Canis lupus familiaris: one gene and its partners. The protein of the gene in region 2 interacts with the protein of the main gene of each other region in a biochemical or structural test. Links are inferred from orthologs where the notes say so. Each region holds a gene or a part of one and is shown on either strand. Other genes may lie near its edges. The genes, in order: NPPA, NPR2 and NPPC.

Evidence for each region.
Region 1: the proteins of NPR2 (region 2) and NPPA form a complex in vitro, tested with the Homo sapiens proteins (3 studies listed by BioGRID). The link is inferred for Canis lupus familiaris from reciprocal best matches to the Homo sapiens genes NPR2 and NPPA.
Region 3: the proteins of NPR2 (region 2) and NPPC form a complex in vitro, tested with the Homo sapiens proteins (3 studies listed by BioGRID). The link is inferred for Canis lupus familiaris from reciprocal best matches to the Homo sapiens genes NPR2 and NPPC.

Annotation. Positions count from the first base shown.
Region 1 is NC_049223.1:83,881,285-83,884,981, reverse strand, and holds NPPA (natriuretic peptides A precursor), read right to left. Parts: upstream 2,438-3,697; 5' UTR 2,263-2,437; coding exon 2,146-2,262; intron 2,045-2,145; coding exon 1,718-2,044; intron 961-1,717; coding exon 955-960; 3' UTR 639-954; downstream 1-638.
Region 2 is NC_049232.1:52,614,227-52,617,969, forward strand, and holds the start of NPR2 (atrial natriuretic peptide receptor 2), read left to right. Parts: upstream 1-1,405; 5' UTR 1,406-2,120; coding exon 2,121-2,787; intron 2,788-3,602; coding exon 3,603-3,743. UniProt on the Homo sapiens protein: Receptor for the C-type natriuretic peptide NPPC/CNP hormone. Has guanylate cyclase activity upon binding of its ligand. May play a role in the regulation of skeletal growth.
Region 3 is NC_049246.1:43,898,961-43,902,703, forward strand, and holds the start of NPPC (C-type natriuretic peptide), read right to left. Parts: upstream 2,405-3,743; 5' UTR 2,272-2,404; coding exon 2,182-2,271; intron 1,725-2,181; coding exon 1,434-1,724; 3' UTR 1,414-1,433; intron 1-1,413.

The DNA of each region.
Region 1 (3,697 bases), on a different chromosome or scaffold from region 2:
CAAAAAATTGTCCATGGAGTACAAGCGACATTTGATGCCACCATGAAAAAAGCCCAGATGTTTGTTAAGTTTCCTCTTCAATAAATAAGTGCCCCGAGTGTGAGCAAAATCTGAAAAATAAGTGCCCTCTCCGTCCATCTCCTGGGGCATTTTCGGGATCTGTGATGAGGCCAGAGTGAAGAAACAAGATTGTGAACTGCAATTTGAGCCCCACCCACACCTCCAACCAAGGAAAAAGCTGGGGGTGAGGGCTGGGGAGGGAATGAAAGGAGAAAAAAAGTTGTCCAAACCCGCAGAATGCTCAACACCAAGGCTTGACCCTAATGTCAAGTGTGGGCTCCGGGTGGTAAGAATGTGCTGGTGTAGAGTCATGGTGTGTAGCAAGGGCACGGCTCTGGCCGTGCGGGAGGGAGGCCCTGCGTGTGTGCAGCAGGCGGTTGTGGGAGACCTCTGTACTTTCTGCTTAATTTGGCAGCGAACCTGAAACTGCTCCCCGAAATAGAGCGTACTGTGTTTGAAAGGAAGAAGAAAGAAACTGAGCGCTCTCCTCTCTGGCAAAAGGTAACCGGGTCCTCAGACTGGGAGAAGAAAGACCACGCCAACCACGCCACCCGCACGCCAACCACGCCAACCCAGACTTGGCTGCTGTCCGTGGTGCTGAAGTTTATTGGTTTTCAAACCCCTTTCAGTAACAGGTGAGTGTCTATGCTAAACTGTTAACGCGTGGGGTGGGAGGGGTGGGAAAGCCACAATTCAGCCAAGTTATCTACGTTTAGCATAGAACGTGAGAAACATCGCCAAGAGGCTGCAGCTTGAATACGGTCTCGGTGCTCGTCACGGCTCAACTTGATGGCAATGAGCTGGGACAAAGTTGAGTGAGAGACCCCAAGGGACGAGGGTCTCTCAGAGTCTGCCCCCGGGCCAGGGCCTCCTTTTCCTCCCTGGCCATTATCTTCAGTACTACAAAGAGAACAGACACAAGTTTGACTTGGTGACCTGGCTCTTTTGGAAAGGTCAATCTCACAGGACTGTGTTCACTTCCCACCAGCACCCCCCACCCCAGCCTGACAACGCCAGGAGTTTCACGAATGGGTGCACAAGTTGCTCGGTAAAAGTTAGAAGTCAACCCCGATGGCTTGCTTGCTTGCTTGCTTGCTTTTTTTCTTTTTAAGATTTATTTATTTGAGAGAAAGAGAAGAGCACCAGCACATCCATGTGTGCGTGAGGGGAGGGGCAGAGGGAGAAATCTCAAACAGACTCCCCGCCGAGCATGGAGATGGACATGGGGCTGGAGCCCCACCTGGAGCTCGATCCCACAACCCATGAGAGCATGACCCAAGCGGAAATCAAGAGTCGGGCGCTCAACCTACTGAGCCACCCAAGCACCCCAACCTGGTCATGATCATTTCATCCTTTGGGATCTGGCAATTCTGGGGAGAAACATGAACTACCGATCAGCAGGATGAAGGTGATTTGGCCCCATGAACATTTTAAGTTCCCAGTGTTCATGGCAGTACCTTTTTTTTCCCTTAGAGTATCCTTGGCAGCCTGTAGCTGAGGATGAGGTCATTGCCCCAAGTTGGGGCAAGCATTTCAAAGGAAGTAAGCTTCCACCCTGGTCTCTACTGCAGGAGGCATGCCCTGGCCGGACTTTTTGACAGGGTGAAACCACAACTAACTTCCTCCCCATCCTGTATCCATCCCCAGCATCTCTTACCCGGAAGCTGTTGCAGCCCAGTCCGCTCTGGGCTCCAATCCTATCCATCCTGCCTCCGAAGCAGCTGGACCTCCGCAGGCTCCGAGGGGCAGCAAGCAGGGCTCTCAGCTTGCTCTTCAGGAGGGCAGATCTATCGGAGGAGTCCCAGGGGCTGCGCCCAAGGGCACCCCCATCTCTCTGGGCTGGGCTGACCTCCCCCGTCCAGGGAGGCACCTCAGGCAGGGGGCTGAGAGCTGCCCCAGCTTCCGCATTCTGCTCACTCAGGGCTTGGGGAGACTCGGCTTCATCTTCTAAAGGCATCTTGTCCTCCAAGCGGTCCAGCAAGTTCTTTACAAAAGGAACACACAGGGAAAGGGAGAGGTCTCACTGACCGGCACAGCGTCACAAGGCCCCCTGGCCCCGCACTGTGGCCCCTGTTCTGGCCCTACCTTGAAATCCAGCAGGTCTGCGTTGGACACAGAGCCGTACACGGGGTTAGCGCCCGTCTGCCCCAGGAGCTGAACTGCCAGGAAGAGGAGGAAGCTTGCGGCGATGGGGGAGCCCATGCTGGCGTCGCTCGAGGAGTGGCCCGGTGCTTGCTGCTCCCCTGTCCTCTCGCCTCCCTCTCTCAGCCTCCGTCTGCCTCTGTCTCCCAGCTGCCCTGCGCCTCCTCTTTTTATAGCCCCCCGGCTCTCCAAGAGCACAAGAGGGACGGAACCCTCCCCATTCTGTCACTTGCAGCGATAAAGCAGCTGAATGAGGAGCAGCAGAAGATGGCCTTTTAAAGCTATCAGGCCCGCAGAGCCTGTCACTACCCCTCCACCTTGAGCAGCCCAACAGCCCCGGACCCTCAGCGGCAAGAGCCACATTCTTGTTGATTTGCCTCAAGAGGTTCCCACTTCAAAGGTGTGAGAAGAGCAAAAAAGAGTCCTTGGTTATCTTACAGCGATGCCTGGGGCTTCTTTCTCCTCAGCAACGGGACCCACGCAGGGAGGCAGAGGGTGACGGTTGGCCGGCGCCCAGCTCCCCCGGTTGGTTTTCTGCTCAGCTGTCAGGGGCTCCAAATAAGGGCGGGAGGGGAGGAAGTGGCAGGAAGCCTGCAGCTCGGGACAAATTAGTCCAGATGCTCACGCTGGCCTCACACCTGACTCATCGGCCGTGGGGGCAGACCTCCCCTCCAGCTGGGCCGCCCTCGCTCCTGGCACTCGCTCTCAGCGGTCAGGTGAAGAGGGAGTTATTTTTTAGAGTATTAAATAGTCAGCCTGGAACCAAATGTGATGAGTGTCCCAAGAATTCAGCTCCCAGACATAAACACCAAGCAAAGTTTTGGAAACACAGCCATCCCTCCGCCAAGCCCCTCCTCCTTCCCCTCTGCAGTGTGGAGGGAGGTGGGTTTGTAGAGATGCCAACATTTTCATCCCATCACCTCGCTGCCCATAGAACCCCAGGCTCTGAATGTGAGGCTTCCGACGCCCCCAACCCTCCCGGGAAACCTCCCTTGGCGAGTCGGCGGGTGGGGAAGTGGCACACGGTTTCCCTTAATGCCTCCTGCGTCCTGCTGCGAGGCCACACGAGTGATGAGCCACCAAGGCCTCTGCTTTCCTGGCCCCAAAGAGAATTTACAGGCAGCAAGACTGTCCTGTCCACGTGTAACGAGTGGCTTCCATTCACTGAGCACCGAACTCCACATTGATGGATTGATTGCTTCCTACTCGATGCACCAGGTACCGGGGGGCAAATGCTAAGTGTGAAGGGTGGAGAGGCCTGCATCGTAGCCCCAGACAAACCGGGTTACACACATCATCACCGCCTCATTTTCCCCATTTGTAAAAACCTGCTCCCCCCACCAAGGTTGTCAGGTGAACTAAGGTGTGAACGCACCATGAAGGGCCATCTGTTTGCAAGATGGTACTGACGGTTACCTTTATTGAGCAGCTGTATGTGCCAGACGCTGTACCGAGAGCTCCGTGTGGATGACCTAACTGCCATCACCGCCCGTTC
Region 2 (3,743 bases):
CTTCTCTTATTTTCACCCCTACAGCGTGTGCAAGTCAGCTAGTGTTCAATAAAGATATATAAACACCTAAGAATAAAATGTCATTGTCCTTAATTTCCCCCCAAAACCACTAGGTGTCGCCTTCATCTCAAAGAAACTAGGCCCCTCCTCTCTGCACACCTACACCCCTCCCTCTACTCTTGGAGCTCTCAGTTTCTTGGCACTGTGGTTTCCGGAGAAGAGGGTTGGAGGGGGAGACAAACTGTGGCTCTCTGAAGGGGGAGGAGAATAGATTTATGTACATCTCCTTTATGACAATTTGAGAGAAACTCCCCAAGGTCCTATAGCAGCCCCTCCCAGCAACCATGATATCATCCCTCATAAGCTGTTCTCAGGATCAGATTGGCATGCCAGATGGGGGTATCTGGGGAGAGCCTTCTAGGTTGTAGGCTTGGGAGCAGGATGGAACCCAAGGGGGATACAGTGGGCTTCCATTGGCGGGGAAATGTTCTGCTTAGTCAGCCCATGAGCTGTTATCAGGTGCAAGCCTGGGCTGTGCAGGGAGACAAAGAGGGGAGGCTGTTCCTGGGCTGGGTCCCTGGAGCAGATGGTGTGGTAGAGGCCCAGCAGGCTATGGTGGGCCTCTGAGGGCATGGGAGGGCCCAGAAGGGAGCATGGGGAAGGAAGAGGGAGGTTGGAGGGCTGAGGTCTAAGGAAGAAGGAGACCAACCCATGGGCTTTGTAAGGGCTCAGGCAAAATCAGTCATCGGAGTCCCTTGGTCCTGGAGGCGTCAGTCTTCCAGGTAGCAGGCATGTGTTCCTGGTGAAGGAGTGAGAGGTTCCTGGCAATGAGAAGGGTGCTCTGGTTTACTAGGTGGAGAACAAGTGAGGATACCAAACATTTGGGGATTCCTGACTGCTTCCTGGAGACGGGAGCGTTGGAGGGACTCAGGGGAGTGGAGAGGGGACTCTAAGAACAGCGGGATGTGCGAGTGGGGAGAAGAGAAGTTCTGGGCTCGCGGCCCTGTGCAAGATGGGGAGAGAGTGGCGGAGCGGGCCGGGGCTTGGGGGAGACAGAAGTAGGCCCTTGAAGTGAGCGGGCGCCCGGGAACCTCGCCTGCCTGCCAGGCCCTAGCGCGGAGCCCCTGAGCTGTCCCTGGATGGGTTGGAGACCTGGGACGTCCCCGGGCGCCGGGGTAGGGGGTGGGGGGGGAGACAGCAGGCGCCAGAGGGTGGGGCGGGAGGGGGAGGAGGAGGGGCCGCGGGGGCGGGGGCGGGGTAGGCGCGGGGCGGGGGCGGGGGCGGGCGCGGGCGCGGGCGGCCTGCCCGGGGAGTCACACTCGGCCGCCGCCGCCGGCGCAGCGAGCGGAGACGGGCCGGGCCGCGGCGACCTGACCTGGACTAGCGGCGCGCCTGGGGGCCCAGGCGGGGGGCGGGAGGAAGCGCCGGCAGCGGCGGCCGCCCGGGCCCAGGAGGAGCGGAGCACAGAGGAGCTGGGACACGGGCGGGGCCGCCGCAGCTCCGGATGGGACCGGCGCCCTGGGCCCGTTAGTCCAAGCAGGAGCTTCAGGAGAAGCCTTCACAGGGAGATTTACCCCTGCCTTTCCCTCTCCTCCGGCCCAGGCCTCGCTTCGCTCCCCGCCCGCCCATGGTCCCAGTCCTTGGGCGGCGCGGGCCCCCTCCCACCTTGCCCCCTTGGTCCTCCTTTCCGCAGCCCTCAGCCCTCCTCCTAGCCCCTTCAGCGGTGAGGTACCCCCAGGCCTTTCCTTTGTACCAGCCTCCCCCCCACCCCCACCCCGTCCCACTTTTCCTTCTCAGCTTTATCAGGCTTCTCCACCTCTCACTGTCCCCATCCCTGTCGCAGGCCCCCTGGGTCCCTCCCTTTTCCTGCCACCCAACTCAGCCCTCAGTCCTTGCCCCAGGCTGGTAGACCCACTCCTTCCTCACCCATCCCCGGGGGGCTTCCTGCCATCTGCTCCTCTCCCATCCCCACCACTTTCTGTATCCCAGCCTACCTAGCTTCTCCTCACTTCTCTTCCTGGCCATCTTCCCCAGGTCCCAGGCTGGGTGGTGCTTGTGCCTCCCTGGTAGGCCAGAGTGGCGCCAGGTTCTGGGGGCGGGGGGGCTGCTGCTTTCTCCCCATGGCACTGCCATCACTCCTGCTGTTGGTGGCAGCCCTGGCAGGTGGGGTGCGTCCTCCCGGGGCGCGGAACCTGACGCTGGCGGTAGTGCTACCAGAACACAACCTGAGCTATGCCTGGGCCTGGCCACGCGTGGGTCCTGCTGTGGCACTAGCTGTGGAGGCGCTGGGTCGGGCACTGCCCGTGGACCTGAGGTTTGTCAGCTCTGAACTAGATGGCGCCTGCTCTGAGTACCTGGCACCGCTGCGCGCTGTGGACCTCAAGCTGTACCATGACCCCGATCTTCTGTTGGGCCCCGGTTGCGTGTACCCTGCTGCCTCTGTGGCCCGCTTTGCCTCACATTGGCGTCTCCCCCTGCTGACTGCCGGTGCTGTGGCCTCTGGTTTTGCAGCTAAGAATGAGCATTATCGTACCCTGGTGCGCACTGGCCCCTCTGCTCCCAAGCTGGGTGAGTTTGTAGTGACATTACACGGGCACTTCAATTGGACTGCCCGTGCTGCCTTGCTGTATCTGGATGCTCGCACAGATGACCGGCCTCACTACTTCACCATCGAGGGCGTCTTTGAGGCCCTGCAGGGCAGCAACCTCAGTGTGCAGCACCAGGTGTATGCCCGTGAGCCAGGGGGTCCTGAGCAGGCCACCCACTTCATCCGGGCCAACGGGCGCAGTGAGTGTGGCCCAGGCTATCTGAGGGTCAGGGGAGGAGGGTCGCTGGATCCCTGGAGCTCAGCGCTGGGGAATTGTAGATGGAGGTGGGCATGGAGGAACTGTACATGGTGGTTGGGGTCGAGAAGCACTTGTGGACAGAGCACCTGTGAGAAGGTTGAGGCATTATATTAGGGGGGCCCATGGACGGCACAGGCAGATGTAAACAAGGGATAAGATTTAAGATTGAATGAGAAGTGAATCCTGCATCAGGGAAGAATGTGGGATTGCGGGGGAATTGAATTTGGGGAGCAGTATGAAATTAGTGCTCGAGTAGTGAATGTGTGTCCATCTGTGAGCAGAGACTTATGAGATTGGGACACCAAGACCCCTTGGTGGCAGAAAAGGAGTGAGGACTCCATAAATGAACCTTTGGGTTTAGCAGATTTGTTTGGGAAAGACAGGGAAAAGCTGACACTGAGAGAAATTTTGAGATGTCAGTGCCTTTGAGGCTAGGGGAAGGCAGGGCAGAGCAGGGCAGTGAGGAGGGCTGGGTGGGGTGCAACAATCAAGAGCTCTGTGAAGAGGAGGGGCTTACAGCTGATAGCTCCCTTCCTCTGGGGTCTGGAGTCAGACTCTGACCTCTGCCAGATGGTCCATAAGGCCTGAGGGTCCTTATGACATAGACTCCCGGGGGAAGGGATGGGGAGCATATGTTGGGTGGTTGATAGGTTAGGGCACTTTCTTCCTTGCTAAAGATGGAAGTGCAGATGGTTCAGAGAAGAGGCTGTTTGGGGACTTTCTCAGAATGTCCCTCTGTCTTGTACCCGTTCCTAGTTGTGTATATCTGTGGCCCTCTGGAGATGCTGCATGAAATCCTACTTCAGGCCCAGAGGGAGAACCTGACCAATGGGGATTATGTCTTCTTTTACCTGGACGTCTTCGGGGAGAGTCTTCGTGCAGGGCCCACACGATCTA
Region 3 (3,743 bases), on a different chromosome or scaffold from region 2:
AGGTGGGAGAGGAGTGCCCCTGAGCTGGGTGGGGCATGTTTCTCTGGCCATCGACAAACATTTTTAAAAGCCTCTTGTGGGAGTGCTGTCGGTCCCAGATCACCTTAGGCAGGCACCTGGCCCTCAAGCTGCTCATGAGTTAATTTGGAGGAGGTAAATAGGTTCCCAAACAACAATGGTTCAGATGAAAAGTGTTCTGTGCTGAGGCAATGTCCTGGAGAGCTCCAAAGAGGGGCACACTCATTGCCCTCTGGGGGAAGACAGTGTGGACACTGACAGGGCTTCTTGGGCAAGAGAACGGCTTGCCCGTGGTCTTGGAGTGGGATAGATAGGCTGTGGGACCAAGGATGGCAGCAGCCAGGCTTCAGGGAAAGGTTGAAAACCAGAGTCAGTTCTTAAATGTGAACTTCAGAGGTGGGCTCTGTATTTCCATGGGAACTGAAGGGCAGCAGGAGTGGACAGGAGGGCGGAGGCGGGGACCATCTTTGCCACACTGCCAGGATGCTGGCAGGGGCTGAAGGTAGCACAGGGGTTTCCAGCCCTAGTGGAGGGGCCCAGGCATGATGGAGGTGGGAAGCTGGGGAGGAGCTCAATTTGGGACATGCTGAGGTCCAAGTTGGGGCAAAAAAAAAAAAAAAAAAAAAAAAGAGATTTATTTTAGTCTTTTTCCCTGCCCTGAAATAGTGCCACAAACACTGGGGTTCTATCCTGAAGTCACAAAGGCAGCAAGCAGCATCAGGACCCTGGACAGACCAGTTTGCTCATAGCGGCAGGTTAGAGAAGGGGTAAGAATTAGAAAGCTTTGGGGCAGAAGGGCATCCTGGTGATGCCAACAGAGGGCTATTCTATTGTGGAGGGGCAGGTGTTTTTCCAAGTATGTCCAAGTTAGTCCCGGGAAAGAGCCCTGACCTCTGGGCTGCCTACTGCCTGGGCACCACGATCCAGGGCTGGCAGGTAAACTTACCCTCCGCTTGTGCGTATGCCCTTCCTTCTCTGCTCCCACAAACCCACGGTCTCCCCTCAATACCCTCAAATGGTCAACTGGGACCAGTTCTGCTGGTTTGCTCAGGGTCCGGGTGTGAGCAGGACCCCACTCCTCCCACGGCCCCTCACAGTCGCGGTGTCCATGCAAGCTGTCGGCTTCTCTAGAGGAGGTTAGGTGGCTCATCCGGGTGGAGCCGTTTCTGACCTCGCCCAAGTCCCCTAACCGCTTTATCCCTCACTTTTTTCATCTGTAAAATGGGACGATAATGGGGTTGGGGGCAAATGGCTCGCGCGCACACGCTCGCTCGTGCCGGGATCGCCTGGGTCTCCTCCAAAGGGCGCCGCGGGGGATCCGGGAGGCCCGGGCTGCGGGCGGGGGTCGGGGGAGCTCGGTGCGCACAGGCCCCGGGCCGGGTTGGTGGTACTCACCGCCGCCAGGGGTCGCCGCACTAACATCCCAAGCCGCTCATGGAGCCGATCCGGTCCAGCTTGAGGCCGAAGCAGCCCTTGGACAAACCCTTCTTGTTGCCTCCTTTGTATTTGCGCGCGTTGGGGTGCTCATGCAGGAGGCGCACCCACGCGGCCCGCGACTTGGTGTCCACGCGCAGGTCCCGGAGCAGTCGCGACCGGTCGCCCTTGAGGTTGGCGCCGCCGCCCCCGGGAGTTTTGTCGCCCTTCTTCTGACCGCCCCCCGCAGCCTGGGGCTCGGCCAGCTCCTCCCCGGGCGGAGTTCGCGGGACCTGTCCGAGGGAAAGGACCGGCAGGTGAAGGGACGCCCCGCGGCAGCGCCAGGTACTTGGCGGGACCCCTGCTGCTCTGGCCCGACGCCCCGCCAGCGCGATTTGTCCCTTCGGAGACCCGAGCGCGCCCCCACAGACGCGGGACGGCTCGGCCCTGCATCCACCTGCCACGCAGCCGCCTTGTCGGCTCCTTAGGGGAGCCCTTGCCCTCCCGTCCTTTGCGCCCTGCCGGGCTGGCCACACTGGGGCAGGGGCTGCGCATCTGTCGACGTTCTCCTGAGGCTGGGGATGCAGCCCCCCGAGGCGGTGTCGAGGGCTCCCCGGCTCGCACCCGTGCACGTCTCGGAGGAGAGGGCCGCCTTCGCGCCCTCTGCTCCCTCTCGTGCGCTGCAGCCTCCTAGGCCCCCAGCCCTCCCACAGCCCCTCACAGTCCCGATGTCCATGCAACAGCACCCACCTTCGGCGGTGTCCCGGGCTTGGCTTCGGAGGGCCGGAGCGAGAGTAGCGTGAGCAGCAGGGCGCAGGCCAGCAGCTGCGAGAGGTGCATGGTGCCGGTGGGGTCGAGGGGCGCAGACCAGCGGCAGCGAGGGCGCACGGGCGGCGGGCAGACGGGCAGGCGAGCGCGGAGCAGGCAGGCTGGGCTGCGGTGTGGGCGCGAGTCCCAGTGCTGCGCGGCGCCGGCTGGGTGCGCTCTGAACCCGCGGCTCCGCTCGCGCCTTTATAATCCAACCTGCCGCTGATGTCATCCTCCCGCCCACCCGGCTGCCCGGGCCAATGGCACGCGCGCCGAGGGCCCGGAGGGGGCCGTGGAGGCTCCCCCACTGCCCCCACCTACATCCCACCCCCGAGGGATGCCGCTCCGCCAGCTCTCTCCCGCCGCACTCGCGGCTGCACAGCGGCGCGCACAGGGAACTCCATTTGCAGCGAGCGCGTGCCAGGCATGCCAAGCGTTGGTGCTCCCGGTGCCCCGCACACACGCTTGGACCTCAACACACGCGCTCTCCCTAGGAGGGATCAGTTTCCCTCTTTGCAGGTGCAAAGACTGGCTCAGAGGAATTAAGTCATTTGCCCAAAGCCACACAGCCAGAAAGTTGGCACAGCCCGAAATCCACGCAGATCTGCCTTGTTGCCAAACTCTTCCCTGGGCACCAGGCAGGAGCAGGCCTGGTACTGCGGCTCCAGTACCTTTCACCTACTCGGGAGTTCAGACCGCACCAACGTCTTTAAGTTAGGGAGGCAGAGGATGGGGTGGAAGCTGGGCCTGAGGCGCAGGGAGAGCGAGGTTTGAGGTTTGCCCCGGGGCCGCAGGGGGGAGCGCAAGTCCTACACCGGAGACTGCAAGCTTTTTGCCTGCGGGTGTTTCTGAGAGTGAAACGCGAACCGGATGGGCTAAGACGGGAGGCCGCAGATACCGGTGCCCACGCGTGTGTGCAGGAGCATCCTGTACCCGTCACTGTGGCTCTAAGTTCGCGCTCAGCCGGGTCCGCTGCACCGAACCCTCGAGGTCTGACCCCGGTAGCTTTCGTGTGCACTCACCGGTGTGCACCTGAGCCAGTCTGTCCCCGCGCCGAGCAGGCCGTTCTCCGCGCGGACCCGCGCACCTGCACCGGCTGCAGAGAGAGCTTTACCAGCTTCGAGCCCAGTATGGCTTCCGGGGACGTGACAGGTGGTTGCCTTCCTTTTTTTCAGCCTTAGATAGTCAGGACAAAGTCACCTAGACCCGCTGCTCACAACTCCCTCTCCTGGGACAGAGTGTCTTAATGCCTTGGGCTCCAAGGAGTCCCTTCGGGATGGGCAGAGGAGGCAGAGAGCCTGGGACCTCAAGAACTGAGTGAGGTGCAGAAATGTATGATCCCATTGCCACCCCACAGGACTCTGCTGGAGAGCACTCCCCGGGGCCAGGGCGGTGGTCCCTAGGTGCCAAGACCGAAGCCAGGTACAGGTGCCTGCGGGAGTTTGTATGTTGCTTCCCCTCCCCCCCCACCCCGGAGAGGGCAGTGGCGGTCAGGAAGGGCAGGG